4 linked regions of the Saccharomyces cerevisiae S288C genome follow. The protein of the gene in region 3 interacts with the protein of the main gene of each other region in a biochemical or structural test. Each region holds a gene or a part of one and is shown on either strand. Other genes may lie near its edges. The genes, in order: CMD1, ERS1, CMK1 and GSF2.

The links.
Region 1: the proteins of CMK1 (region 3) and CMD1 form a complex in vitro, tested with the Saccharomyces cerevisiae proteins (2 studies listed by BioGRID, with this or other methods).
Region 2: the proteins of CMK1 (region 3) and ERS1 form a complex in vitro, tested with the Saccharomyces cerevisiae proteins (2 studies listed by BioGRID, with this or other methods).
Region 4: the proteins of CMK1 (region 3) and GSF2 form a complex in vitro, tested with the Saccharomyces cerevisiae proteins (2 studies listed by BioGRID, with this or other methods).

Annotation. Positions count from the first base shown.
Region 1 is NC_001134.8:454,464-460,126, forward strand, and holds CMD1 (calmodulin), read right to left. Parts: upstream 3,900-5,663; coding exon 3,456-3,899; downstream 1-3,455. Other genes in the region: IML3 (Iml3p), read right to left, coding at 1-67; AIM3 (Aim3p), read left to right, coding at 359-3,202; ALG1 (chitobiosyldiphosphodolichol beta-1,4 mannosyltransferase), read left to right, coding at 4,409-5,663.
Region 2 is NC_001135.5:242,741-250,700, reverse strand, and holds ERS1 (cystinosin-like protein ERS1), read left to right. Parts: upstream 1-1,885; coding exon 1,886-2,668; downstream 2,669-7,960. Other genes in the region: deadenylation-dependent mRNA-decapping factor PAT1, read left to right, coding at 1-463; FUB1 (Fub1p), read left to right, coding at 656-1,408; EGO2 (Ego2p), read right to left, coding at 1,499-1,726; SOL2 (Sol2p), read right to left, coding at 2,791-3,738; mitogen-activated protein kinase kinase kinase SSK22, read left to right, coding at 4,118-7,960. UniProt on the Saccharomyces cerevisiae protein: Cystine/H(+) symporter that mediates export of cystine, the oxidized dimer of cysteine, from vacuoles/endodomes.
Region 3 is NC_001138.5:168,061-175,829, reverse strand, and holds CMK1 (calmodulin-dependent protein kinase CMK1), read left to right. Parts: upstream 1-1,952; coding exon 1,953-3,293; downstream 3,294-7,769. Other genes in the region: glycogen (starch) synthase GSY1, read left to right, coding at 1-1,565; IOC3 (Ioc3p), read right to left, coding at 3,545-5,908; YFR012W-A (uncharacterized protein), read right to left, coding at 6,520-6,606; DCV1 (Dcv1p), read right to left, coding at 7,334-7,769.
Region 4 is NC_001145.3:174,664-183,005, forward strand, and holds GSF2 (Gsf2p), read left to right. Parts: upstream 1-3,762; coding exon 3,763-4,974; downstream 4,975-8,342. Other genes in the region: U2 snRNP complex subunit RSE1, read right to left, coding at 1-3,642; pheromone-regulated K(+) transporter PRM6, read right to left, coding at 5,354-6,412; PRP39 (Prp39p), read left to right, coding at 6,811-8,342. UniProt on the Saccharomyces cerevisiae protein: May be involved in the secretion of hexose transporters from the endoplasmic reticulum. Involved in secretion of GAL2 and HXT1.

The sequences.
Region 1 (5,663 bases), on a different chromosome or scaffold from region 3:
ACTTTGCTATACCATTTTCCAGTGAAAGTTGCTTGCTGATTCCTAAAAACTTCCAAGTATAAGGCATTCCATCCAAAGGAAGTACGTTGATACCTATAGACAATCAAATCAACCATGCAGTCGACCAGATCATCCCACTATGGTTGTTGTCTATTTCATATCGGTGTCGGCATTTTTTTTTCCCGTAGTACCACTGGATCTGCCTAAATCGCGCTTCAGGAAAACCAGGGACCACCCTATTTTTTTATATTTCATCATCTAAATTAAGTGTATACATATATGGATAAAGTCATTTTGAGTTTACATAATCGTATGTTCGAGAGAGGTCTTTCATAAAAAAATCAAGTTATCAACCAGCATGGGATTTTGGGAGAACAACAAAGATTCCATCACTTCAGGGCTGAAGAGCGCCGGTAAATATGGTTACCAAGGAACAAAGTACGTTGCCAAGACAGGGTATAAGGCAAGTAAGAAGCACTATAACAACAGCAAAGCGCGTAGGGAAAGGAAGAGTGGTAAGAAAAATTCAAGTGATGAGGAGTATGATAGCGAAGATGAGATGGAGTACGAAAGAAAGCCGACCGATATAAGAAGTTTAAAAGACCCAAAGTCCTTTCCTCCCCCACCTTTGAAACCTGGACAAAAAACTTATACAGGACAACAGCAACAGCAAATGCCAAATGGTCAGGCCAGTTATGCTTTTCAGGGTGCATACCAAGGCCAACCTGGCGCAGGATCGACGGAACAGTCACAATACGCACAACCACAGTATAATCAGTATCCACAACAGCAGCTGCAACAAGGTGTAATGCCACAGCAACAGCAGCTGCAACAAGGTGTAGTGCCACAGCAGCCGCCTATATATGGAGAGCAAGTACCACCGTATGGGTCAAATTCTAATGCAACCAGCTACCAGTCGCTGCCGCAACAAAATCAACCCCAAAATGCAATTCCAAGTCAGGTATCTCTGAACTCTGCTTCTCAGCAAAGCACAGGGTTTGTCTCGCAAAATCTGCAATATGGTACCCAATCAAGTAATCCGGCACCATCACCGTCTTTCCAGAACGGTCTTCAGTGTCATCAGCAGCCGCAATACGTATCACATGGCTCAACCAATCTCGGACAATCCCAATTTCCATCGGGCCAACAGCAGCAGCCCACGACACAGTTTGGCCAGCAAGTTTTACCATCACCTGCACAACCACAACAGCAACAACAAGGGCAACCATTACCGCCCCCGCGCGGTCAAGTGATCTTGCCAGCGCCCGGAGAGCCTCTGTCAAATGGCTTTGGGCAACAGCAACAGCAACAGCAACAGCAACAGCAGCCTCTGAACCAAAACAACGCTTTGTTGCCACAAATGAACGTGGAAGGAGTTTCTGGGATGGCTGCGGTTCAGCCTGTCTATGGCCAAGCCATGTCAAGTACTACAAACATGCAAGATTCGAACCCCAGCTATGGAGCTTCACCCATGCAAGGTCAGCCTCCAGTCGGTGGACAACCGCCTGTGCCTGTAAGAATGCAGCCACAGCCACCGCAACCAATGCAACAGGGAAACATCTATCCGATTGAGCCTTCTCTTGATTCTACTGGCTCAACCCCACATTTTGAAGTTACTCCATTTGACCCAGACGCACCTGCTCCGAAGCCCAAAATCGATATTCCCACTGTAGACGTTAGTAGCCTTCCACCACCTCCCACTCATAGGGATAGAGGAGCAGTTGTACACCAGGAACCTGCGCCAAGTGGGAAAATACAGCCTAACACAACCTCTTCGGCGGCTTCATTGCCAGCAAAGCATTCAAGAACTACTACTGCAGACAATGAAAGGAACTCTGGAAACAAAGAAAACGATGAAAGTACCTCCAAGTCGTCCATTTTAGGACATTATGATGTAGATGTCAACATCATGCCACCTCCAAAACCTTTCAGACATGGACTTGATTCTGTACCTTCTGAGCACACCACGAAGAACGCACCAGAACGGGCAGTGCCAATTCTACCTCCTCGGAACAATGTTGAGCCTCCTCCTCCCCCATCACGAGGCAATTTTGAGAGGACAGAGTCGGTGCTGTCAACGAATGCCGCTAATGTACAGGAGGATCCCATTTCTAATTTTTTACCTCCACCGAAGCCATTTAGACATACTGAAACTAAACAAAATCAGAATAGTAAAGCATCACCTGTAGAAATGAAGGGTGAAGTTTTGCCAGGGCACCCCTCTGAGGAAGATAGAAACGTTGAACCATCGTTGGTACCTCAATCGAAACCGCAATCGCAATCTCAATTCAGAAGAGCTCATATGGAGACACAGCCTATTCAAAACTTCCAGCCACCACCAAAACCATTTAGGCGTTCACAATCGTCCAATTCTAGTGATAGTTCTTATACTATCGACGGACCTGAGGCAAATCATGGGCGTGGGCGTGGGCGTATAGCTAAGCACCATGATGGTGATGAATACAACCCCAAGAGTGAGAATTCTACAGAAAACGGTCGTTTGGGTGATGCCCCCAACAGCTTTATTAGAAAAAGAGCGCCAACCCCTCCGGCCCCATCCAGATCTGAGAAGTTACATGAGGGTACTATAACATCCGAAGTTGATAGTTCAAAAGATGCTAATAAATATGAAAAGTCAATACCTCCTGTAACTTCGTCTATTCAAGCGCAACAGTCTACGAAGAAGGCGCCTCCTCCTGTTGTAAAGCCAAAACCTAGAAATTTTTCTTTAAAGGCCAATGAATATCCCAAGGAACTTACTAGGGAAGCAACTGGACAAGATGAAGTTTTAAACTCCATTACCAATGAGTTGTCGCATATCAAATTAAGAAAAACAAACGTTAATTTGGAAAAGTTAGGCGGTTCGAAAAAAGTGAAGGACTCTAGCCCTGTTCCCTCAGATCTAGATGAAAAATATGTGTCTGCATCGGGGTCTATTACTCCACCAAGGCCTCCACCTTCTAGGTCTAGTCCAAAGAAAGTGCCGCCTGTTGTCCCAAAAAAGAATGATAACCTGAAGAAAAAGCCACCAGTGGTCCCAAAGAAAAAGCCATTACTAAAATCGCTCGAACCAAGACCTATTGAAATGGAGAGGGCCTATTCGGGAGATATTTCTGCTGCTGACGATAACTTAAATCCTTTTGAAAGATACAAACGAAATGTTGTTCCTCAAGAAGATGACAGACTGCATAAATTAAAATAATGAAATAGCTACGCAACATTGAACTTAATACTGGCTAAATTTAGTTATCCGCCTTGGTAAACAATCCGTATCCTTTATTTAAACTGTCTTCTCAGGAACATTACTTATCTACATAAATAACATTAACCCTGTCTACGTACAGTATATATTTGCGTGTGGTTGTCAAACTTTAGATGAAACGATACTCAACGAATACTATAAAACCAGAATGGTAAGGGTAAGATAGCGGGAGCAAAAAATCACAAGGATGCACCTATTTAGATAACAAAGCAGCGAATTGTTGAATGTTGATCTCGCCTGATCCATCACTAACCTCTCTTAGCATATCATCTACTTCGGCATCAGTCAATTTTTCACCAATGGATGTTAGCACGTGTTTCAACTCAGCGGCGGAGATTAAACCATCACCGTTCTTATCGAATACTTTAAAAGCTTCTAGTAGTTCTTGTTCAGAGTCATTTGATTTGAGTTGACGAGACATCAGAGCCAAAAATTCACTAAATTCGATTTGATGGTTACCATCAACATCTATTTCGTTCATCAAATCATTTACTTCTGCTTCACTGGGCGAAAGACCCAATGACCTCATCACAGTGGCCAATTCACTTGATGAGATAGAGCCATTGTTATCTTTATCAAAGAGGGCAAAGGCTTCTTTGAATTCAGCAATTTGTTCTTCGGTAAGATTGGAGGACATTGTACTTTTTTATTTGTATTAACTAAGCTCTTTCTTTGTAGTTCGATAGTTTCCGGTCAAGAATAAGATTTCTATCCAGTCAGAGTACCCTTGTGAGTTAACAAGATCTCTTGTTAAACACCTTCTTACGCGGGCAATAAAAAATTCTAAGAATAAAGTCATATCACAGTACACGAAAATATAAATACATCTTGAAAATGTCTCAAATTGGGTGGAAAAGAGGGTGCTTGAATTCATTAGGACATATGGTTGATGTTCTCAGGTTCTACTTATGTTTGCTTTGTCGATTTTTGCATGCTTTGACTGTGACTTTCCTGTCTGATATCTTTGTATGGCTTGTTGCTAAAACAAGGTCAATCCAAGCAGTGATCATCTTGCACGTTGCTTCAATAGAACGCGCATATAGCAATCATCAAGTTAATTGGTCATATATCTTTCAATCAGCAATTAGCAAAGCCATTAGAGGGTAATTGTAACGGCATTTTAGGGGCTATAGTCAATTGGTGAAAATGTTTTTGGAAATTCCTCGGTGGTTACTTGCCTTAATAATATTATACCTTTCCATACCGTTAGTGGTTTATTATGTTATACCCTACTTGTTTTATGGCAACAAGTCGACCAAAAAAAGGATCATCATATTTGTGCTGGGTGATGTAGGACACTCTCCAAGGATATGCTATCACGCTATAAGTTTCAGTAAGTTAGGTTGGCAAGTCGAGCTATGCGGTTATGTGGAGGACACTCTACCCAAAATTATTTCCAGTGATCCAAATATCACCGTCCATCATATGTCAAACTTGAAAAGAAAGGGAGGCGGAACATCAGTTATATTTATGGTAAAGAAGGTGCTTTTTCAAGTTTTAAGTATTTTCAAATTACTTTGGGAATTGAGAGGAAGCGATTACATACTAGTTCAAAATCCACCGAGCATACCCATTCTTCCGATTGCTGTGCTATACAAGTTGACCGGTTGTAAACTAATTATTGATTGGCACAATCTAGCATATTCGATATTGCAACTAAAATTTAAAGGAAACTTTTACCATCCTTTAGTGTTGATATCTTACATGGTAGAGATGATATTCAGCAAATTTGCTGATTATAACTTGACTGTTACTGAAGCAATGAGGAAATATTTAATTCAAAGCTTTCACTTGAATCCAAAGAGATGTGCTGTTCTCTACGACCGCCCGGCTTCCCAATTTCAACCTTTGGCAGGTGACATTTCTCGTCAAAAAGCCCTAACTACCAAAGCCTTTATAAAGAATTATATTCGCGATGATTTTGATACAGAAAAAGGCGATAAAATTATTGTGACTTCAACATCATTCACCCCTGATGAAGATATTGGTATTTTATTAGGTGCCCTAAAGATTTACGAAAACTCTTATGTCAAATTTGATTCAAGTTTGCCTAAGATCTTGTGTTTTATAACGGGTAAAGGACCACTAAAGGAGAAATATATGAAGCAAGTAGAAGAATATGACTGGAAGCGCTGTCAAATCGAATTTGTGTGGTTGTCAGCAGAGGATTACCCAAAGTTATTACAATTATGCGATTACGGAGTTTCCCTGCATACTTCAAGTTCAGGGTTGGACCTGCCAATGAAAATTTTAGATATGTTTGGCTCAGGTCTTCCTGTTATTGCAATGAACTATCCAGTGCTTGACGAATTAGTACAACACAATGTAAATGGGTTAAAATTTGTTGATAGAAGGGAGCTTCATGAATCTCTGATTTTTGCTATGAAAGATGCTGATTTAT
Region 2 (7,960 bases), on a different chromosome or scaffold from region 3:
AATCAAGCAAGATTCATCAAGATCTAATATTCTTTCCTCTCCTGAAATCTCCACATGGAATGAGATTTATGATAAATTATTCACTTCATTGGAAAGTAAGATTCAGCTGATTTTCCCTCCAAGGGAATATAACGACCACATCATGCGTTTACAAAATGACAAGTTTATGGATGAAGCATACATTTGGCAGTTCCTAGCTAGTTTAGCACTAAGTGGAAAGCTAAACCACCAGAGAATCATTATTGATGAAGTACGTGATGAAATCTTTGCCACTATTAACGAGGCGGAGACCTTACAAAAGAAAGAGAAAGAATTGAGTGTATTACCTCAGAGGTCTCAAGAATTAGACACAGAGTTAAAATCTATTATTTATAATAAAGAGAAACTATACCAAGATTTGAATTTGTTCCTAAACGTTATGGGGTTGGTGTATCGCGATGGTGAAATATCAGAACTAAAGTAAGATTTTTCCTGTAATTTTAATGTACTTACGCATGTATTTTTTTTTCTCCCTTATTTTTTATTTCCTACCCTTTGTAGATCATTTATTGTATATGTTTTTATATAAGTTTATATAAGTTTGTTATCCTTTTTTTTTCATAAAAAACCCGTATTAGCATCAATAATACCACCATAGTAACGCAAGAGTTAAACAATGATTGAGAATAAGGTTGAACTGGTAGCAGAACTAGTGTTGGAGTCCATCGGTAAAACTGAGGTGGTGTCACGCCATACAGAGGGAACCAAATCATGCCAAGTGAGTTTTCGCATTAAAGATTCTCCCAGTGAGAAGGGTTCAACATCGTTTCTCTCTGAGCTAGTGGTGATTCAGACTCTGGATGACAATGACAAGTATACTGTTGTTATTCGTCATGGTACGTCGATCACCATGGCATGTGTGGTGGGTTACAGCGATTTTAAATTGCCCACAGAATTGAAATGGCCACTAGAAAGAGAAAGCTTACCTGTGGAGCCAGACCTGAAACCTATAATGACACAACTTAAAAGACAAACTGCAGGTAGTGCGGACATGCCAAAATTTGACGATGAGTACCAGGCACAAGCAAGACAAAACCAGGGAACAGCACCGTTGAACCCATATCCCGGACTTACGGTAACTGAACCGAGCTTCGCTAACCCAGCAGGAGGGTATGCGGATGGTGATCTGTATCCTGTTGGCACAAGCCATCCGGATTGGTCTGGAGGGCTTCCCAATCCTCTGGGGAATCCAAGTAGCCAAGGCGGTATGATTTTCGATCCAAATAGAAGACCTGCCCCAAGACGGGAAGATATGCCGCCAGGATGGATGCCTGGATCCAAGTACGACGAACCATTTGGTCCTGGATCTGGCGGATTTGGAGGTTCAGGATCCGGCGGATTTGGAGGGTCAGGATCTGGCTTTATTTAAATGGGTGTTTATTTTAGTACTTTGTTTATTGTGATATTTAGTTTTTAGATAGTATACAGACATAGCTATGTCGAAAGGGAAGGAAAGAATTTATTGAGCGCTGGTATATACAGCTAAAGTGATATCATTGCGTTTGTACAGGTGTACGAGTAGCGAATCTCCTTGAACTTGAGCAAAACCTTCTGCATCCAGCGTAACTTTCGATAAATCACCGATATCTTCGATCCTTTGACTGCCCACGCCGGTAGACTCTATAACGTTACCGTGAGTATCGAAAGCAATGGTTCCCTTAATATCAGATTGTTTTTCCGCTTCCATCTTTGATTTGGTTTAGGTGATTTGGTTTGAGGTTGTGGTATTGCCCTTTAATAGCGGAATCCTTTATATTTTTTGATAATCTTGAAATTTTAAGGTGAGTTTCCATATGTAAACAAGGGAAGAAAAACTAAAAGCAAACAAAAGCAAACGCGAAGCAAAATGGTGTCGTTAGACGATATACTAGGTATCGTGTATGTTACGTCATGGTCGATATCGATGTATCCACCGATAATCACCAATTGGCGCCATAAGTCAGCGAGCGCGATATCGATGGATTTTGTCATGTTAAATACGGCAGGTTACTCTTACCTGGTCATATCCATATTTTTGCAATTGTACTGCTGGAAAATGACGGGTGATGAGTCTGACTTGGGCAGGCCCAAGTTGACGCAATTTGATTTCTGGTATTGCCTGCATGGGTGCTTGATGAATGTTGTCTTATTGACCCAGGTGGTAGCTGGAGCGAGAATCTGGCGATTTCCAGGTAAAGGTCACCGCAAGATGAATCCATGGTACCTAAGGATTTTACTCGCATCACTGGCCATTTTTTCACTGCTAACCGTACAATTTATGTACTCCAACTACTGGTACGATTGGCATAACTCAAGAACTCTGGCGTATTGCAACAATTTGTTTTTACTCAAAATATCGATGTCACTAATCAAGTACATCCCACAAGTGACGCATAACTCGACAAGAAAATCTATGGATTGTTTCCCCATTCAGGGTGTGTTTCTAGATGTCACTGGCGGTATCGCCTCGCTGCTCCAATTGATTTGGCAGTTGTCTAACGATCAAGGTTTCAGTCTGGATACGTTCGTGACAAATTTTGGAAAAGTGGGACTGTCAATGGTAACTTTAATATTCAACTTCATCTTTATCATGCAGTGGTTTGTATATCGATCTCGAGGCCATGATCTGGCGTCAGAGTACCCGCTGTAGCACACAAGGAGAAATCTGCATAATTACGCATATATATATATATATATATATACATAAATATACATAAATATATGTATGTATGTATGTATGTGTGTATGTATGTATGTACACACATGCATGGTTTAAATAGACAAACCTTGGTGGAATTTATACTTTTTTTTGGTGACGAGGACGTCCGTAAGAGCATCGTCGTCAACAAACCATGATACACGACCAGCAGCACCTTCGTTGACAATACTGCTAGGTAGGCCCTTTTCAGGCCTTTCCATAATGGTCTTGATGATGGGCGCCTTGGTTGCACCTTCGACAACGAAAGTAACCCTGTGAGAATGGCAGATTACAGGTATAGTCAGCGAAATTCTGGTCGAGGGCCCACTAGGAGCGTTCTCCACGGGCACCACCCATGCAAGTTTCTCACGTAGATTGTCCTGGAAGTTAGGGAAGAGTGATGCGATATGACCATCGGGGGCACAACCAAGCAGGAACAAGTCGAACATCGGAAGTTTGACGGAATCTCTACCGGCAAACCCGCGGATTAGCACCTTTTCATAGTTATCAGCGCATTCTTGCGGGTCGTCAATCAATGACTCGTCAATGTGGTACACCTTCGGAGTTCCATACTTCGCCGTGTCTATCAGGTCCAAAATCTTCCTTTTGGCGCATCCATAATTGCTTTCATTCGAGCTGAAGGGTACAAGTCTCTCGTCTGCAAAGTAAATGTCCCAGTCTCCCCACCGTACATCGTCTCGTTTTAGCAGACCTTCGTGTAGCACTTCGATCAATGACCCACCGGAGAGAGCAATCTTGAACCGTTTCTCCTTTTTGGGCTTACTGCTACCACTGCCACTACCACTGCTACCACTTTTCCCTTCCGCGGCAGATGCTGTGCTTTTGCAAGAGGCCTCTCTCGTCATATCCAGTGCATTCATGCTGATGTTGGGAACAGAGTGTTTCCTCTCGTTCTTTGGAGCCAATGCACCGTCTTGCGCGTGGACTACATGGTCAGCTACGGCCTCTGCCACGTCTGAAAACTCGTGAAACGCGAATATCTTGGGTACCGTCGTAGTCATATTGTCTTGCTGCAAATTGCTTTCTGTTCTAGTCCATACCTACACTGGATATGACGATGATGATGCCACTATTATCATTGAAATTTGTTAGGAAAACCCCTGTAGCGCCCGCCCTATTTAAACCTAATTTCCCCAGGATGTCTAATCACATTTTCTTCATTTTTTGGAAACTAGACCTTAACATATTTCGTATTAACCCTATGTCTCGAATTGAAAATTTCGCGGGTCTTTTCTCTTGCCTTGGTACCTTATGTAAAAAAGCGATGCCAGGAACAATAGGATAAAAATAGCAGCAACAACATACGATAAGAATTGAGGATGCTAAGCTAATGTTGTTTTACTTAGGGTGGCTATAAAAGGTAGTTCCTTGTAGGTGAAAATGATGATGGATATACTGAATACACAGCAACAAAAAGCGGCTGAAGGCGGGAGAGTTCTGGCTCCTCATACCATCTCAAGTAAGCTCGTGAAGAGATTATCAAGTCATTCCAGCCATAAACTATCAAGATCTGATTTGAAAGCATTGGGTGGCTCGGAAACAATAAGCGACGGCCCCAGTCAGCTGACTTTTAAGGACCGATACGTTTTCAATGAATCGCTATACTTGAAAAAGCTAAAAAAGACCGCTTTAGATGACTACTACACGAGGGGCATAAAACTCACTAACCGCTACGAGGAAGACGACGGTGATGACGAAATTATTCGGTTGTCTAATGGCGACAGAATTGATGAAGACCTGCACTCAGGTGTCAAGTTTTTCTCCACTACACCTTATTGCAGGAAAATGAGGTCAGACAGTGATGAACTAGCTTGGAATGAAATTGCGACCGAACGGTTCAAATGGCAGTCAATGCTGGCCAGAGTGCTGAAGGGAGATATTGTTAAAGGTGAAAAGACGAGGATTGCTAACCAAGTCAAGAAACCAGGGTTAAATAAGGAGCTCTCAGATGAGATATGGCTCGAATTGAAGGCATGGCTGAATGGGAGGACCATGCAAGAGATGGAACAGTCGCTTACATATTTAAGAGATAGTTCAGATTCCGTTTTTGAAGAGATAATGAAGTTTCAAATTCCACAGGGCAAGATATTGAGCCTGGATGCACTGGAGGCCATCTTACAAGACCTCATGAACAGATATCACAGCGTTGTCTCTTATTGGCCTAACTTGAAAAAAATGTATAAGGATAAACCAATCACCAATACTGCAGAATTTACCGCTAGAATAGACGTAATGAATTCTTGGCTGAACTTTAAAACGAACTTAACGTTGAGGAGGCAAGAGTTGGACGACTGGATAAACCGTTTCTCACCGATAAGTAGTTCGGATAATTGCCAAGAGGATTTTGATGGTGTGCCCCAATGGAACTGCAAAATGAAGATTCTTGCAGAACAATTGATGAAGGAAAAGAACATCGAGTCTATATTCCAAAAAAAAATTTTCTATCCGCTATCACCTTGGATGTTCAAACTGAAACTACATTTTATAGTCTACAGAGAAACTTTGACAAAGATGAACATAAAATATCCTTATGAAAGGTTAAGATCACTACTGGCGTTCCCCGTCTATTTAATCAAAGAAGTTATTTTGACTAGATTGTCATATGCACGAAAGCTTAAAAATCCAACAATGATGATGATCGATCAAATGATCGATGATTTTAACGCTTTTATTCGACTTTCTGTGCAATTGAAGTACACACTGACAAAATATTGCTCCAATTTGCCGTTCGATGTGGATTTTGACCCGACGTTCGAAAATACTGTAATAGAAGCCATTCGTTATTTATTTTTTCTGTTGAATTTAAAGTTGATTGATTCCAGTAAACAAAATTTCAAAGCACCCGATCTACTCTTGAAATACTGGGATCACCTAAAAAACACCGGTCACTATATTAACGGTGCAGAAACCGTGATTCCAAATGAATTTCTCAAGTTAACTTTGAGACTCGTACATAAATTGCAATTCTATCTTTTGAAACAACAAAACTTCCCACCAACATTTGCTAACGCTTCAGAAGCAGAAAAATGGCTAAGTTCCATTTTCGAAAATTTGGGTGCCATGAAAAGAAAGCTGAACAGGTTCAGCAATATTCTAGTCAAGGCGTTCCAAAATTCTGCTGTTTATCAGATTAATCATAATGCACAACTTGTTAAAAAGTTAAAAGATGCTCACTATTTTTTGGTATACTCCGGTAACACTTTTGAGTCTAGTGGTGTATATATGTTTGCTGCTCCTGAATTATTAGGTTGTGACAATGATACCATCTTAAGAATTTTGCGAAATAAATCCATTGGCTGTGATTTGGTCCCAAAGCTTGACATTGGAAATAATTTGAATGTGTATGATATAACAACAAAAGAAACAGATTTGAACATTCTAGTATCGAAAGGGGAGGATTCCAAAGGAATTCCTTACTACCGAGTAGTAGCAAATTCGTCAAGTGATTTGGACAGGCATGCTCATCAGTCCAAAAAGAAGAATTTTTCAACAGACCCTTTTGATCAGCACCTTGATGAAAAGAACAATGAAGTTTTTGAATTGGAAGTTGCTTTGAGCTCATTGGGTGCACTAGTTGTACTATATCCTGGAGAGCCAGTAGTTTGGGATGGACCAGTATATAAGCTTCCAGGTAACAACCTTTTTGCATCCAACGAAATGGATTTAGGGAAAATTGGTAACCCAAATACGTTGATTTTACTCAATCAAGGTTCTAATTATGCACTGACTTATCAAATCGACAAGTTTAATCAAACGGTAGGTGATTCTGTTTCATTCATAGAGAAACGTTGTTCACTCAATTCAATTGAATCCTCCCTACAAAAAATCAATAAGGCATATTACAAACTTACTTATACAGTATTGAACAACTACAAAGGAATTCTAGGTAGCTTTATGAAGCAATGTCCGGGAAATGAGTTGTTAAATTCGATATTCATGTTTGGAAGGGATTTTGGAAGAAGTTTCCTTAAATATAACGCCTTTAGCTCAAAGAGGAAGTACGTTATCATCTTTCTGATGGTTAAATTAGGAATGAACTGGTTGAAATTCCTTGTTGAAGAGTGTGATCCTACCGATCAGCGAACTTTCCGATGGTGCGTTCTTGCAATGGATTTTGCGATGCAGATGACTAGTGGTTATAATATCCTGGCGCTGAATGTAAAGCAATTTCAAGAACTGAAGGAGAGGGTATCAGTATGTATGTCATTATTAATTTCACATTTCGACGTTATGGGTGCACGAGCCACTGAAGCTGAAAATGGCATGCAACAGGCAAGATTGAATATTGATACTGAAGAGAATATTGATGAAGAGGCCACCCTAGAAATAAACAGCAGGTTGAGACTGGAAGCTATAAAGACGTTGGAAAAGACTATGAAGAGGAATCCCAGGCAAATGGGTAAGGTATTGGATGCTACAGATCAGGGAAACAAATACCTACTATCGCTAGCATCCTCATTATCGAATGTATCAATGAGGTGGCAAAAAAGAAGCTTCATTGGCGGTGGAACATTTGGACAGGTATACTCTGCAATTAATCTGGAAAACGGTGAAATCTTAGCTGTTAAGGAAATAAAGATACACGATACCACAACAATGAAGAAGATTTTTCCCCTGATTAAAGAAGAGATGACCGTATTGGAAATGTTAAACCATCCTAATATTGTCCAGTACTATGGTGTCGAAGTACATCGCGATAAAGTTAACATCTTCATGGAATACTGTGAGGGTGGTTCTTTAGCCTCGTTATTGGATCATGGAAGAATTGAAGATGAAATGGTAACACAAGTGTACACATTCGAACTATTAGAAGGTTTGGCATATTTGCACCAATCTGGCGTGGTGCATCGCGACATTAAACCGGAGAATATCTTGCTGGATTTCAATGGAATCATAAAATATGTGGATTTTGGTACGGCACGTACCGTTGTAGGATCTAGGACTAGAACTGTGCGGAACGCAGCCGTTCAAGATTTTGGAGTAGAAACAAAGTCCCTCAATGAAATGATGGGGACACCGATGTATATGGCTCCAGAGACTATTTCAGGCTCGGCAGTTAAGGGAAAACTTGGAGCGGACGATGTATGGGCATTAGGATGTGTTGTGCTAGAAATGGCCACAGGTAGACGACCTTGGTCTAACTTGGATAATGAATGGGCCATCATGTACCACGTTGCTGCAGGTCGAATACCGCAACTACCCAATAGAGACGAAATGACTGCA
Region 3 (7,769 bases):
CGATTTTCACCACGCACGCAACTTTATTGGGTAGATACTTGTGTGCCGCTGGTGATGTAGATTTTTATAACAATCTACAGTATTTTGATGTGGACCAAGAAGCTGGTAAGAGAGGCATATATCATAGGTACTGCATTGAGCGCGCTGCGGCTCATACTGCCGATGTTTTTACGACTGTGTCGCAAATCACTGCATTAGAAGCGGAGCATTTGTTGAAGAGGAAACCGGATGGCATTTTGCCCAATGGTTTGAACGTTGTTAAGTTTCAAGCAGTACATGAATTTCAAAATCTGCATGCCCTGAAAAAGGACAAAATTAATGATTTCGTCAGAGGCCATTTCCATGGTTGTTTTGATTTCGATCTAGACAACACAGTTTATTTCTTTATCGCTGGTAGATATGAATACAAAAACAAAGGTGCTGACATGTTCATTGAATCATTGGCTCGTCTCAATTACAGATTGAAGGTTTCTGGATCCAAGAAGACGGTGGTAGCGTTTTTGATCATGCCTGCCAAAACCAATTCCTTCACTGTGGAGGCACTGAAAAGCCAAGCCATTGTAAAATCTTTGGAAAATACTGTTAATGAGGTCACCGCATCCATTGGGAAGAGAATTTTCGAGCATACGATGAGATACCCTCATAATGGCCTAGAATCAGAGTTGCCCACTAATTTAGATGAGCTGTTGAAGAGTTCTGAAAAGGTTTTGCTGAAGAAAAGGGTATTGGCGCTGAGAAGACCTTACGGGGAATTGCCTCCGGTAGTCACACATAACATGTGCGATGATGCTAACGATCCAATTTTAAACCAAATTAGACATGTTAGATTATTCAATGATTCGAGTGATCGTGTAAAAGTGATTTTCCATCCTGAATTCTTAAACGCCAATAACCCTATCCTTGGTTTGGATTATGACGAGTTTGTTCGCGGCTGTCACTTGGGTGTTTTTCCATCCTATTACGAACCATGGGGGTACACGCCAGCAGAATGTACCGTCATGGGTGTCCCATCTATCACAACAAACGTTTCTGGGTTCGGTGCCTACATGGAAGACTTGATTGAAACAGACCAAGCGAAAGACTATGGTATTTATATTGTAGACCGTCGTTTCAAGAGCCCTGATGAATCTGTCGAGCAATTAGCAGACTACATGGAAGAGTTTGTAAACAAGACCAGAAGACAAAGAATCAACCAAAGAAACAGAACCGAAAGACTATCAGACTTGTTAGATTGGAAGAGAATGGGGTTGGAATACGTTAAGGCTAGACAGTTGGGTCTTCGTAGGGCCTATCCAGAGCAGTTCAAGCAACTGGTGGGTGAAACAATTAGTGACGCCAATATGAATACTCTTGCCGGTGGCAAGAAATTCAAGATTGCCAGGCCTTTGAGTGTACCCGGATCCCCCAAAGTAAGGTCCAATAGTACTGTTTACATGACTCCGGGCGATTTAGGTACCCTTCAAGATGCTAATAATGCAGATGACTATTTTAATTTGAGCACGAATGGAGCCATCGACAATGACGATGATGACAACGATACGTCTGCATACTACGAGGATAATTAAAACCATCTTAACTTCTGCTAACATATCTTACTCTTTTAGCTGAGCATCAAATTAATTTTAGTATTGCACGTTCTGTTATTCTTGTATAAGTACATAGAAATAATAGCAGTAGAAAAAATAGAAGTAATTTTACCTTTACAGTACATATGTGTTAGTATAAGGAACCTTTTACGTGGGATACTTTGCTTACGAAGAAAAGGCTGAAAAAAAAAAAAAAAGAAACTCCCCCCGCGTTTAGAATGGTGCAGCCGAGCTACCTACGCAGGGGATAAAAAGAACGAAAGCCACATCGACTACAAGCCAGAGTATAAATGGTTTCAATTCTCGTAGAGAACTCACAATTATATAATATTGGAAGACACCAGAAAAAATAACGAGTCAATTACTATGGACGACAAAGTTTCAGAAAAGGAGAGCTCCCCAAAACAAACAGAGGAGGATTCTGAAGGTAAAATGGCACATGTGCAGCCTGCTTCGTACGTGAATAAAAAAAAATATGTTTTTGGGAAGACATTAGGTGCTGGTACATTTGGTGTGGTGAGACAAGCCAAAAACACTGAAACAGGGGAGGACGTGGCCGTTAAAATCCTGATCAAGAAAGCACTAAAGGGAAACAAGGTTCAGCTAGAGGCTTTATACGACGAGTTAGACATTTTACAAAGACTGCATCATCCAAATATAGTGGCATTTAAGGATTGGTTTGAATCAAAAGACAAGTTCTACATTATCACGCAATTAGCCAAAGGGGGTGAATTGTTCGATAGGATTTTGAAGAAGGGTAAGTTCACTGAGGAAGATGCAGTGAGAATTTTGGTTGAAATATTGAGCGCAGTCAAATATATGCATTCTCAGAATATTGTTCATAGGGACTTGAAACCGGAAAATTTACTGTATATAGATAAAAGTGACGAATCTCCACTGGTAGTTGCTGATTTTGGTATCGCAAAGAGATTGAAAAGTGATGAGGAACTCCTCTATAAGCCGGCAGGCTCACTGGGTTACGTGGCTCCAGAGGTACTTACTCAGGACGGTCATGGTAAACCTTGCGACATTTGGTCGATAGGTGTCATTACGTATACTTTGCTTTGCGGTTATTCGGCGTTTAGAGCCGAAAGGGTTCAAGATTTCCTTGACGAATGCACAACTGGTGAGTATCCAGTGAAGTTTCATAGGCCTTATTGGGATTCCGTTTCCAATAAAGCAAAACAATTCATCTTGAAGGCTCTTAATTTGGATCCTTCAAAGAGACCGACCGCCGCAGAACTCTTGGAAGATCCATGGATTATTTGTACCGAATTGAAGACGCACAATTTATTGCCTGGGTTAAAGGAAGGATTGGATGCTCGTCAAAAGTTCCGTAATTCTGTTGAGAGAGTCAGATTAAACATGAAGATCCAGAAATTAAGAGATCTGTATCTTGAACAGACAGAGAGTGATTCAGATTTTGACGAAGGAAGTCAAGCAAACGGTTCAGTTCCTCCATTGAAAGCAACGGATACCAGTCAACTATCCAAGAAGCTATCAGAAGAAGAACAGTCTAAGTTGAAGTCCGAGTTAACCAGCAAAGCTTTTGCACAATTAGTTAACACAGTGCTTGCCGAAAAGGAAAAATTTTTAAATATTAACAGAGTCTGTAGTTCTGATAGCGATCTTCCTGGGAGTGATATAAAGTCTTTGGATGAGGCGAAGGAGAAACCAGAGGGGAAGGATACCAAAACAGAAGAATGATAACAGTATGCCGTTTTACCACACTGGCGAATAAATCTTCAATGACTTTGTAAGCTCGAATATGCGCAAGATTTGACTTTGATATTTTGCACTTTTTCGTCCTCACTTTCTACCTTTTTTTTTTATGCCTTAGTTGAAAAGATACGCGTATCTAATTATGTACTAATAGTCTTAATTTTACATTACTTAATTAATCGAAATGCAGCCTGTAAGGAGTTTCACAATCTTCACGTTCGTTGAAAGCTAGTTGTCTAAGTGCGCTGCCTTTTAACTCTACCATCATCAAAAGAAGAATCATTGTCGTTGTCATCATAAATATCAGCTTCGTCGTCTTCTTCATCATCGACATATTCCTCGCTATCATATTCCGTATTATAGTTTACAGTCTGTCGCTGTATCCTTCTCAACTGTCTCTTGCCTGGCTTCATGTCTGCAAATTGCACTTTCATTTGTTCAAACTGACGAAGAATGAAATAGTAATCAGATAAAAATTCCTTTAATATCTGTAACTTCTTTCTCGCAGTGTTATATTTTGCGTCTTTTGGTAGCGGGTTTGTATTTATGGAGGGATTATTATCAGTGGTAGATTTCTGCTCCAATATGTGCGCTTCATTATTCAGTGCTTCTTTTTCTTTTTCATTTCCCTCCTTTTTCTCATCTTGAGGTTTAACAATTTTATAGTCCAAGAACTCCAAGAACTCCAGCAGTGTTGCTGAATCGTGGCATAATTCATACCAATAAACCTTCCCCGATGTATTTCTGCCTCGTGCAACATCATGCGCCAACGATGGTGTGTCATGGTAAAACAATTTGAATTGGGCACTCATCGATTGTCCATCATTTTCAAACAGTGTAAAAGCGTTGTATTCATTATTTTTGAATTTCGATAGCAATGCTTGTAGATTTCTCAAATCAGTGAAGGTGCTCATTTCGAGTGAGTCCCCATAACTGTGTAATCTTGGCATATAAAAATCACCTATATGGGGAACTCTACCAAGGAAGAACTCTTGTAATCGCAATTTATAAAGTCTTTCCGAAAAAGGATTGGCTAATGGTTGATCAGGTAATTCGCCTTCAAACAATGGGACCCACTTGTCGTACAGTGAGAACAAAAGTTCATCCTTTTCGGATTTTACAGCGTTCTTCAATTCCGCTTTAATTTCCTTCAGTATTTCTAGCTTCCTTGATAAATCTGGTTTTTTACCCTCTTTTAGTTGTTTAACAAAATGTTTTTTCTTACTTCTGATTTCATATCTTGATTGAATTAGTGAGCAGAGTTTTTTAAACTGATTTATGGTATTATCTACCCCTTCAATTGTATACCTAGGCACTTGTTGTGTTTGGATGCCAAAAACGGGATCTTTTTTACCATGAGTTAATTTGTATATCTCGTCATGAATAGCAGATGAATGGGAAGCGCACCAGTCAGTTAACGCCCTCAATAAAACAACGCGATCCATTGGTTTGAGCGCCAAAATTCCATTCTTGTCCATTTCTCGATTATACAAAGGATTTGATTCCAATGGGAGTGGTTCATTAGCATTCCAGGTATATATATTTGGCGTTAAAATTTCTGGATGACTGGGATCCACCACTGGTGTTTGTTCATCTTGTTCAAAAAGAGCAGTTTTAGGTTTGGAGATATCTTGGTCACTGGGGAGTTGTTGACGCCATTCTCGTGGATACCCCCATTCGCGAGCTACAAGTCTTAACCGATAAAGAGGATTGGAAAATACTTTCTTGGAGGACGATTTTAGATTCTCCCAGGTTGTTAATGGACCTTTCTTCTTGGCACTTTTACCATCAAAATTTTCAGTAAATGTTAAATCTAACAAGGATAGGAACAGTAAATTCATTTTGTCTTGGCAATAGACGATATCCTTGATGGCCATAAAATCAGGATATAGCAATAAGGAGGTGTCTTCAGGACCCTTCACTATACCAGCTGCGCTTCCATTAGGATCGCCGGGATACAAATCTAAACCGACCTCAAAATCTTGGAATGATAAATTTTGTAGGTCAGAATGGAAAAAAGAACTAAACTTATTTATGAACGCCATCAGCTTAATGATATCTCCAGCATATGGCACAGGCTTCATGTTCGGATTTTTTAACCTAGAGATGACACTATACTGGTTCTTGAAATCAGAAGTAAGCAAGGGTATTACAGAAGTCCAATTGCTAGGGATCAAAGCGGGTTCTACTTGTTCATGGGCTGGTTTAGGTTTCGGCGCCACTTTTTTGTCATTAGTCTTCAGTGTAGGTTTGCCATCCTTAGCAATTGAGGTAGTCTTCTTTTTCTCTACTTTATCATTTGATTTAGAGTTCTGTGTGGAAGGTGCCTTTTTCTTAGGAGGAGCAGGTCTCTTCCTCTTGGGTTTATTCGCCCTTTCCTTTAACTCTTCCTCGTATTCATCATAAATGCTCGTTCTTGGCTTAGGAACACGTCTTGATCTCCTTAAATTATCAGAAGATTGTGAAACACTAACACTTTGATCGGTTTGTAAGGGCATAGCCATTGATACGCGATCATGATCATGGTCAGCAAGCTGTGCGGAAGAGCTGCCCTGGGCTTCTTGCTGCAAATTCTGGATAGAATTGGATGGAGAATCCATAAACAATAGGGGATTGCAAACTTTGCTTGAAGTACTTGGTAAGTGATAGTTTTGTTGGCCGAAACCAATGTGGAAGATATCACCATCTTAAGAAATTAAGTCCATTCATTAGTATAAACTCACGTAATTTCAATGAATTTGTTAAAGTTTCAGCAAATCGTGAAGCACGATATTTCACTTTTATGATCCGAGAGGGAATATTACTAGTACTTCCACGCATAAGGAAAGTCAATGTTAACAAATACCGCCATACCGCCATACCTGTCCTCTGTAGTCACTGCTAATGTTAATGTAAATAAATTACATCTAAAAGTTGTTTTCTCTTCAGTAATTTTAGAAACCGTTAAGAGGAAAAATGGGCACTTCCTTTCTTTGTTTCAGAAATTAAGCTCAAAAAGATGGGCTCGATAAAAGTAGCATACTATTTACTCTATCTTATTTTTATTTTCTATATACTAGTCTATCAGACTCAGACGTCAACGATGTGGAATACGGATGGAATCATTAAATAGTAGCAAGAAGTACTTTATTCTTATTTTTCAAATTGCGGCGCGCCAACAAAACGCGTACAAAAAAAGCAGATTGGATAGTACTTTATTCTTGTTATTTTGTCATTGGAAAGTATAAGCTGGTTGTGGATTACTCTTCACACGATGTGCCTGTTTTTTGTAGGCGGGCTTGTACTTTCTGGGGAGCATGCTGTGTATGTTGTAGGTCTGTGGCAATGTTTGTCGGGAGTGTTCGCTGTTACCATGAGTTGTCTGTGAGTAGTAGCGATTGTAATTGTGGTTGTATCCTACTGGTCTTCTTCGGGAATACCAAGGAATGAAAGAGTTATGAGGAACCTCACTTTGATCCTGGTAATTATTTGGTTGTTGTAGTTGATATTGGCGGGGCTCTGTGAGACAATGATTTTTTTTTGAATATATTTTAAAGCAATCGGCTGATTGGGTAGCCTCAACGCCAAATAACCAAGGAGGGTCGTAGTTATCTTGTGAATGGCTTGAGATTCCCTCATAATATAAAATATTTGCCTTTTTTTTTTCAGTAGGCATTTCCACATTTTCTTGCTTTGCAGGTAAGTCGGTTATATTGATTTCATCCAAAGATAAGGATTTTTGATTTTCAACATGCCTTCTAGAAAATATTTGTTTACCATTCAACTTTGGAGCGAAGAAACTCACCAAACCTGCTTGCTTCAATGGAGATTTGATTTCAGGCGGTGGTTCATCTTGATTTGTTACCGCCAGTTTATCTTGATTGGGATCTAAGGTCCTTGGTAGATCATTAAAAAGACTTGTGATGTCATACACAGATTGGTCTGTGCCCTTAGTTGTTTGTGGATAATTTTCGCCAAGGGAACTTGATGTTTGACTCGTTCCATATAGTTTGAGAATACTGTCTACGTTCTCTATACTAGCTTCTTTAGCTATGTTTTCTGTCTGACTGCGCAGACGTATCAAACCTAAAACTGAGAAAATGCACGCCAATAACGAGCAGAGGGAACAGGGAACAGTTAGCCAGCCACACCAAGTCGTATAAGGATGAAATTGTAACAGGATCACGGTGCATGCAAAGTAACAGGATCACGGTGCATGCAAAAATAGTTGATAAAAGTGTCAATATGTGTAATATAGCGTTGGAAGTAATAAGTGAGACATTAGTTCCTCCAGTCTGAAAAAGAAAAATAATAACCAAGGGAAGTGCAAAAGAAATGAAAGTCAAACATGTAGCAACCGGTATCGAAATCAAAAGTCCTCCTATTGTATGTCTTGCCTTAGGACTCAGCCACCAACGTTCAAGAGAAGGGCCAGGTAATATTTCTTTCGAGGTGTTATATATTAAACGTACTCGAGAGCAG
Region 4 (8,342 bases), on a different chromosome or scaffold from region 3:
AGGTCTATCAGAATTTGAAAGGCTGTCCAGGATATGGAAATCAGTGATGATATCATTAACAAAGAAGTGGTTCAGTAGTTGAAACTTGAACTTGCAATCATAAGTATTGGGTAATTTCTGCTGTAAAGTGATGACGTCTAGTGGGTACTTGATGGCCCCATTAGATAATTCGCTGGGATCATGATTTGACATGATTTTTTCGCACTCTGGTGGAGACCTTAAAGTCCACGCATTTCCATATCTATCAGCGCCTATAACAGTTGCCTCATCTAGAAATTTCAATACCGTCACATGGCGTTTTACAGAGTCATCTACGTACGGAATAAATACATTCCCCGCAGGATCCCAGATAAATAAAGTGACAGATTCATGTATATCACCAACGGCCAGTCTTTCATAATTCCACTGGTGCATAGACACAATTTTTGTTATGGATACCGGGGTCTGTGTTACGGACCTTCTTAATAATTGCTTTTTCCCCAAACCATAAAGGACAATAGTGGAGCCCATGGCTGTCAGCAAGAAGTTTTTAAACTTCAACATAGCATGTATTGGTGAAATGATTTCTGTTTGGTGAAGTAATTCAATATCAAAAGATAGTTTATCTTTGTTAACTAATATCTTGTATGTTAACAGCCTTTTGTCGCCAGCACAAATGATCAAATGATCAGCTTGTCTTGTGAAATCTATTATAGCAGCGGAAACGCAATCGATATCGTCCAGTATCTTGTATAAATGATCCGAACTGCCAAACTTTAAGCATTCACCATCAATTTGCAGTGATATACGGCATTGTTTCTTACCACTGTGATTATCAATAAACAAAATGCTTTTCGGATTATTGGGAAATGATAAAATAGTACGAGGTCGGAATGTAGATATTTGTAACATTTCCATTTCTTCTTCCATTTCATCTTCTTCCTCTTCATTGCTTTCATCTCCTCCACCGTTCTCTTGCTTGTTAACACTTGATTCATGAACGTGAAACCAGTTATCCAAAGTTGGAAAGTTGGAAACTCTGCCAATATTTAAGCGTCCTGAGCTCGATATTGAACAAACACCGTTGATTGCAACATCTGCGTTAACAAATTTGGAACAACTTAGCATGTTTTGATCCTTTAACTGCCGTATGGTCCACACATTTTTCCACGTGTAGCTTACCCATGTAGAAGAGGAATGGCAAACCACGCATGACATCCATTTAGCTCCACTACTATTTATTTCTTCTTCTTCTTTTTCATCATCATCGTCTTCTTCTTCTTCTTCTTCTTCCTCATTATTTAGTGATACAGATATCTCACGCAAATACGAAAGGGAAACAGGCTTCAAGCCAAGGAATCGCCTTTTTATGTCAGTGAACGATCCGTCAACATCCCCTATATGAAATTTCATGTAAACGCCATTTTCTAAACCTACATGCAAATTAAGCTGTCCTATTGAGGAATCTCTAACCATTATCATGTCAGAAATCTTTTCACTAACTAATTGCAAACTTATTACAGTTAAAAAATCTTCCTTTTGGTCTTTAAGAGACATTATTTTGATCATACCCTCATTGTCAGCAATGGCTAATAAATCAGCATGCTGCGTATCTTGCACAATCGCAACTTTAGAGGGCATTGTGTCCAATTCTGGGTGGGTGGTTAATTCGATTAACGAATCCGAAGATACATCTATCTTGAAATAAACCAATTCGTAATTTGATAATGATATAATTAGTTGTGTTTTCGAGGACGTGGCACATACAATACGAATTCCCGCTGGTGGCACCCAAGTCAGCTTATTAGAATACCTAGATTTACCAGTCGGTACGATATGTCTTAGTTCTGCGGTGCATACTTGGATAATAGAGTGTGAGCCCATTAGGCATGTATGAATTGTTGTGTCCTGAGAGAGCTTGAAAGCTGAACGCGTTGCTTCATCCGGTGTTAGTTCCTCCATGGACTCGTTGTCAATTTGTAGTATCATAGTTTTCTTGGGAAAAGTTATGAACAAAAGAGTATTGTTATCGCCGGTTGTTGCAGGATCGGGTATTAGCCATAACTTGGTTGCGTTCGGGGGTAAACTAGTAGATATCAAATTAGAGTAATTCACAGCATTTGTTAAAGTTATTATCTTGTTGTTTGTAAAATGTTTAGTGGCGATAGACAGTGGCGAATCACTGACAATTTGAGATTTTATTGAAGGGTTCAAATTCAATTGTTGCGATAATATGCTCAAATTCTGCAACTTTATGGATGGTTCGAAAACTAGCGACTTATTTGGATCTTTTGAGGTTAAAACATTAGAAAAATCATTTTTCTCTACACCAAGTTTCTCAAACTGGAAAAGAAAGTTGTTATTCATTTCAGATAGTGCAAAAAGATAACCGTTTTTGAAAATGTGTAATTGGTGTGAATTTTGGATTGTATCAAAGTAGGACAATTGAACTAAAGGTCTATTTCTATCATTAGTGTCTGGACTTACAGTTAACTTAAAAAGATCGCCATGGTTAGATTGTAAAAGTACGAAAAAATCATTTTTCAATTTCTGCACTATGCCTGATATGATTGTTACATTTTTATGACGGCTATTTGTGATAGATCTTTTGGGTATTTCCACTTTCAGGCTGAAAAATCCGTTCATATCCTTTACCAGAATATGATTTTCGAAGCCTATGACAACAAAAGGGTTGAAAAGGGTATCATAGTCAGCATCATAGTTGTTGTCGCTTAGCGAAGTTGTTATATTATATCGCGATAGATCTGGCAAACTCAGTACGAAATTGGCAGATGGGTTAACTAAATAATCTGCCTTCTTGACGATGTGATTCAAACCCAACTCGAGGACATAAAATATCAAGTGTACTGATAGTTGAGTAGCGGCATTGTCGATTTCTAAGGTAACAAAACATGGATTATTGAAATTTACATCAACAACTGCCATATCCAGCGTTACCATATGGGGTCTGATGATTTCCAATGGAGACGAAATCCTCAATTTTTGAGCATAATCAACGAGGAAACACAATTTATTTTGTTCGACAGATGAGAGAATGATACAACGCCCATTAGGGTCAATTTCCATGTATGATATGGGAGAGACTCTTCGAAGGGTGGTCCTCGTCAATGGCTGGTTCACTAAAGTCTTAAGTCTAAGAGCACCTGCATGCATAATGATTTGCACGATACTTAGGTTACCAGAATCGGAAGTTAGCGCTAGAAAAGTGGGCCAGTTGGAAGCTTTTGCCCTTGACCCTGAATGCGGCAGATCCAGCGACTTCATCGAGGTTATCGTCGCAAACAGGTTTTGAAACTTGGCAATAAGCTTTAGTTCCCCATCTGCAGTATCATAAAGTTCTAAATGCGTCTCAGTAGCTACGCACAATTGCGACTGCTCACGCTTGGACCCTGCTTCCAGATCGACGAAGTGTCCGATGCAGGAGTGCACGAAATTCGTCTGTTTCTTTAAAGTAAGATGGTACAAGTATAGCTCATCATCTTTAGCAACCATTGTTATGTTATGGTCACTCCTTGTTCTTCTTTCAGCCTCTCGTTTTAAACCGTCATAAGCCATCGTTGTGCTAGCTTGCCCAAATAGTTTACGCATCTTCGCCGTGTGGGGCGACAAGCTTACTACTGCCATTTTGCCACCTCCCCACATTTAATGATGGAAAATATTATAAAAAAGCGAGAAAAGAAGCTAATGGTGCCATTGTTTTCCTTTTTAGAGAGGGGCAGCAGAGATCGGTGGACTTTGTTTTGATAGAGGGCGATTGCAAGCATGGAGATTTACATTAGACTTAACGCAGATGTCGAGCACGACTATGCGTTTCAGGTGTCAAATGAAGACACCATAAATAACAAAATTAAGAAGATTTTCCCTTCCAAGACGGGTTTGGCGGACTTAATGGTGCTGAGACCATCAATTTTCCATGAGAAGGAGCCCGTAAAGTTCTATAAGTCTATCCATCCAGGGTACCTGTCCGAAGGTGGTTGTTTGATGTTCCATTATGAAGCTGATAACGAAGAAAATCTCGAGGAGTTGAATGACTCCAAGCCGCTTATTGACCAGTTGTGGCCTGGTCAGCTAGTTGTTCCGGAGTGGAAGCTATCCAAGAAAAACATATGGGTATACACCATTATTATGTTGGCCTGGCTATATACCGATTTGCCCGACGCCATTTCTCCAACCCCAGGTATTTGTTTGACTAATCAATTGTCTAGACTATTGATTCCTGTAGCCAAGCACATGGATTTACCTGAAATTGCCGCTAAACTCGAACAAGAAGTTCAGGCAAACTATTCTAGTCTCGTAGCTCAATGGCTTTTCTTTGTCATGCACATTTTCAAAGTGGGCATAATTACTTTATTCCTCAAATTAGGCATTGCCAACCCCATCAGCTTCAATCCTTACAAGTTATGGAGTTTGAGAGATTTAACTTCTCCTTCTGCTAACGGCGCTAAGAATTCTGGCGGCAATAACAACACTACTGACTTAAAGACACGTTTGCGCTCTCTGGGCTGGATTGGTGCTAAGAGAGCTACTTACGACGATTACCAGACTAACTATTACAACTATGTCATAGATAAGATGGGTGGTGCAGTTGCTGCTTATAGAGCGGGCGCGATTAGGAAAGCTGCAGCACCAGGTATCCAACTTGTGGCTGGAGAGGGTTTCCAAAGTCCTCTAGAAGATAGGTTCACTGCTTCCACTTTCACGGCTATTAAAACCGAACGGAAATTCATTTTAAGTGAAGAATACTTTGTGGAGCTGGAAAACAATCTAAAGAAGATCTTGGAAGAGTATGACGGGGATATTGGTAAGATGAATGCTGAAATTAGGAGGTTTAGAAGGTTTGGTATTTATGAACCAGATGAAAAACTGGCCTCGCTAGTTAAGCTCAGAAGAGAAATTGCTGATGAGAAAGAGAAAGCATCAAACAATGATGCTACTTTTGGTATAAAAAAGAATGATTTGAAAAAATCTAATTAATTGTAAAACCAAAACACTACCATCCAGACTTTTTTTTTATTCAACCATAGCCTTTAACTACTACTACTACTACTAGTACTACTACTATTACTATTACTATTACTACTACTAGAGGGCCTTTTTTTACTCCTAGTATTTTTGTACTATCCTATTTACTCTCGTTGTTTTTATTAGTTTTTTCACTCTTTTTTTCAATTCCTCACGAATCTACTGTTTTCGTAGTGCTTTTTTTTGTTTCATTGTTTATAGCCATCAATGGTTTTTGTTACTATCATTATCATTATAAATATTTCATACAATATATACAATATATATACAATAAATGAGAATCGATTTACTTTTAATGCATTTTTGCAGTCAAAAAAAGCTTCGTTTACATTTATATGTATTTATGTTTGTATTTCTGGGGGAAATATGCCTTTATGGGCGTATATACTCTTTCGTACGTTTCTACATCCGAGTAGCAGTAGTAACTCGGTATTGTGCTTTCGTCGCCATAATCAGGACTATCATAATCGAATTTTTTTTGCGTTTTGTTGTCACCACATATGGTCCCTTCTTCCTCATCATCTATCAATATTCCCAATTCGTAGACAGTTCTACTTAAATTCTCGTCAATGACTTTAGACACATACTTTCGTAGTTTCAATTCATACCCCTTAACCTTCCTTTTACTAGACAAAAATCTCGGACGTATAAAAATGATGAATATTATTATGCTTAGAATTAATTTGCTTATTAAAATTACCCATATGATAAACGAGAACAACATGAAGGACAAGATCACACTTTCTTCGTAATTTGTCTTAGCAATATGTTTTATCTTGTTTATTATTCCATTTAGGTCATCTAAATTACCTAGGCTTTGAGTACTATGGGTTCCGCTACTGGTCTCATTCGAAACTGTCAGTAAAACTGACCACAAAGTTAATCCGTTGATTATTTGCCTTGGAGAGTCACCGAACAATAGCCTCAAACATCCACTGATTTCAAAATATGAAAAGAATAACCACTTACTGAATTTTTTCTCATCAGTCAGCACTATTAGTTCGAAAATTTGATACTTTTTGAAATTGAACAAGCAATTTATTAATCTGCTAATGCCATTCATGTAGTTCGATGTAATCTCTTTCTTCCTATACACTCTCAATCCAATTACCAACTCCCAAATTAATATTAATGAGGAGCATAATATGCATCCGCTAAACAACCATTTTGAAATACGGAATTCCAAGAATGGTTGGATGATATTGTTCGACCATGTGTTAAATGCCAGTAATTTAATACACGTGTATATATCAGAAAAAAACATGGCCACATGTAGTATCGACTGACACCAGGTGTATAGAATATACTGTAATTTTGTGGTCCACTTCGCAGTAGGAATAAGATTTATGTCAATATCCTGGAATTTCAATTTTTGTAAACTTGATTCCATTATTTAGCGCTTTGTTGTCATTTTCCTTTCCCTCTTAGACAATGTGGTAAAAAATGCCAGCTCCAGGGCTTTCAATTAATCCATTATTGATTTTTAATCTGGAGGTTTGAGCATGGCTGAATAATTTATATACAAATATCTTTTTTTATTGTTTCAGATCATTCGTTTTCAGTATGATTTACTATCATTCATTTTCTTTTTCTTTACCATTTTACGTCGCCGTCGCACATCTTAAAACAAATTTAATACAGAGTTGAAAGTTTCAGACTTAAACAGAATTTACGCAAGAAAGTTTTCAAAGTCCTAAAGTAAAAACGCGCCTTCCACAGCCATTTCTTTGTTCAACAAAAAGTTTTGGCCCTTACTGCTATTGGATACTTGGCAATCCGTCTTTCGTTATGCCAGATGAAACAAATTTTACAATAGAAGATATTGAGCCTAGGCCTGATGCCCTTCGAGGTTTGGACACCCAGTTCCTTCAAGACAACACAGCATTAGTACAAGCATATCGTGGTTTAGACTGGTCAGATATTTCTTCGTTGACCCAAATGGTAGATGTTATAGAGCAAACAGTGGTTAAATATGGCAATCCAAATGATTCAATCAAATTGGCCTTGGAAACTATTTTATGGCAAATATTGCGTAAGTACCCTTTATTGTTTGGATTTTGGAAGAGGTTTGCTACTATTGAGTACCAGTTATTTGGTCTCAAGAAATCGATTGCTGTTCTGGCCACCTCGGTCAAATGGTTCCCAACTTCTCTGGAGTTATGGTGTGATTATTTGAATGTGTTGTGTGTTAATAACCCGAACGAAACGGATTTTATTAGGAATAATTTTGAAATTGCAAAGGATCTTATTGGCAAGCAGTTTCTATCACACCCTTTTTGGGACAAGTTTATAGAATTTGAAGTTGGGCAGAAGAATTGGCATAACGTTCAAAGAATATACGAGTACATTATTGAAGTTCCTCTACATCAGTATGCGCGGTTTTTCACATCTTACAAGAAGTTTTTAAATGAAAAAAATTTGAAGACAACAAGGAATATTGATATAGTTTTACGAAAAACACAAACAACAGTAAATGAAATTTGGCAGTTCGAATCGAAAATCAAACAGCCCTTCTTCAACCTGGGCCAAGTGTTAAATGATGATTTGGAAAATTGGTCGCGATATTTAAAATTTGTGACGGATCCTTCAAAATCCTTGGATAAAGAATTCGTAATGTCCGTTTTTGACAGATGTTTGATTCCTTGTCTTTACCATGAAAATACGTGGATGATGTATATTAAGTGGCTAACAAAGAAAAATATATCCGATGAAGTGGTAGTGGATATATACCAAAAAGCCAATACGTTCTTACCACTGGATTTCAAAACTTTGAGGTATGATTTTCTTAGGTTTTTGAAAAGAAAATATCGGTCAAATAATACCTTATTCAATAACATATTCAATGAGACAGTATCGCGTTATTTAAAGATTTGGCCCAACGACATATTACTTATGACGGAGTACCTTTGTATGTTGAAAAGACATTCTTTTAAGAATTCCTTAGATCAATCGCCAAAGGAAATTCTAGAGAAACAAACATCGTTTACTAAAATCCTAGAGACATCAATCACCAACTACATCAATAATCAAATTGATGCCAAGGTGCATTTACAGACCTTAATAAATGATAAAAACTTAAGCATAGTCGTGGTAGAATTGATAAAAACTACATGGCTTGTACTTAAAAATAATATGCAAACAAGGAAATATTTCAACCTTTATCAAAAAAACATCCTCATTAAAAATTCTGTACCGTTCTGGTTAACTTACTACAAATTTGAAAAGAGTAATGTAAATTTTACCAAGCTGAATAAATTCATTAGGGAGCTTGGGGTAGAAATATACTTGCCGACTACAGTAATGAATGATATTTTGACGGA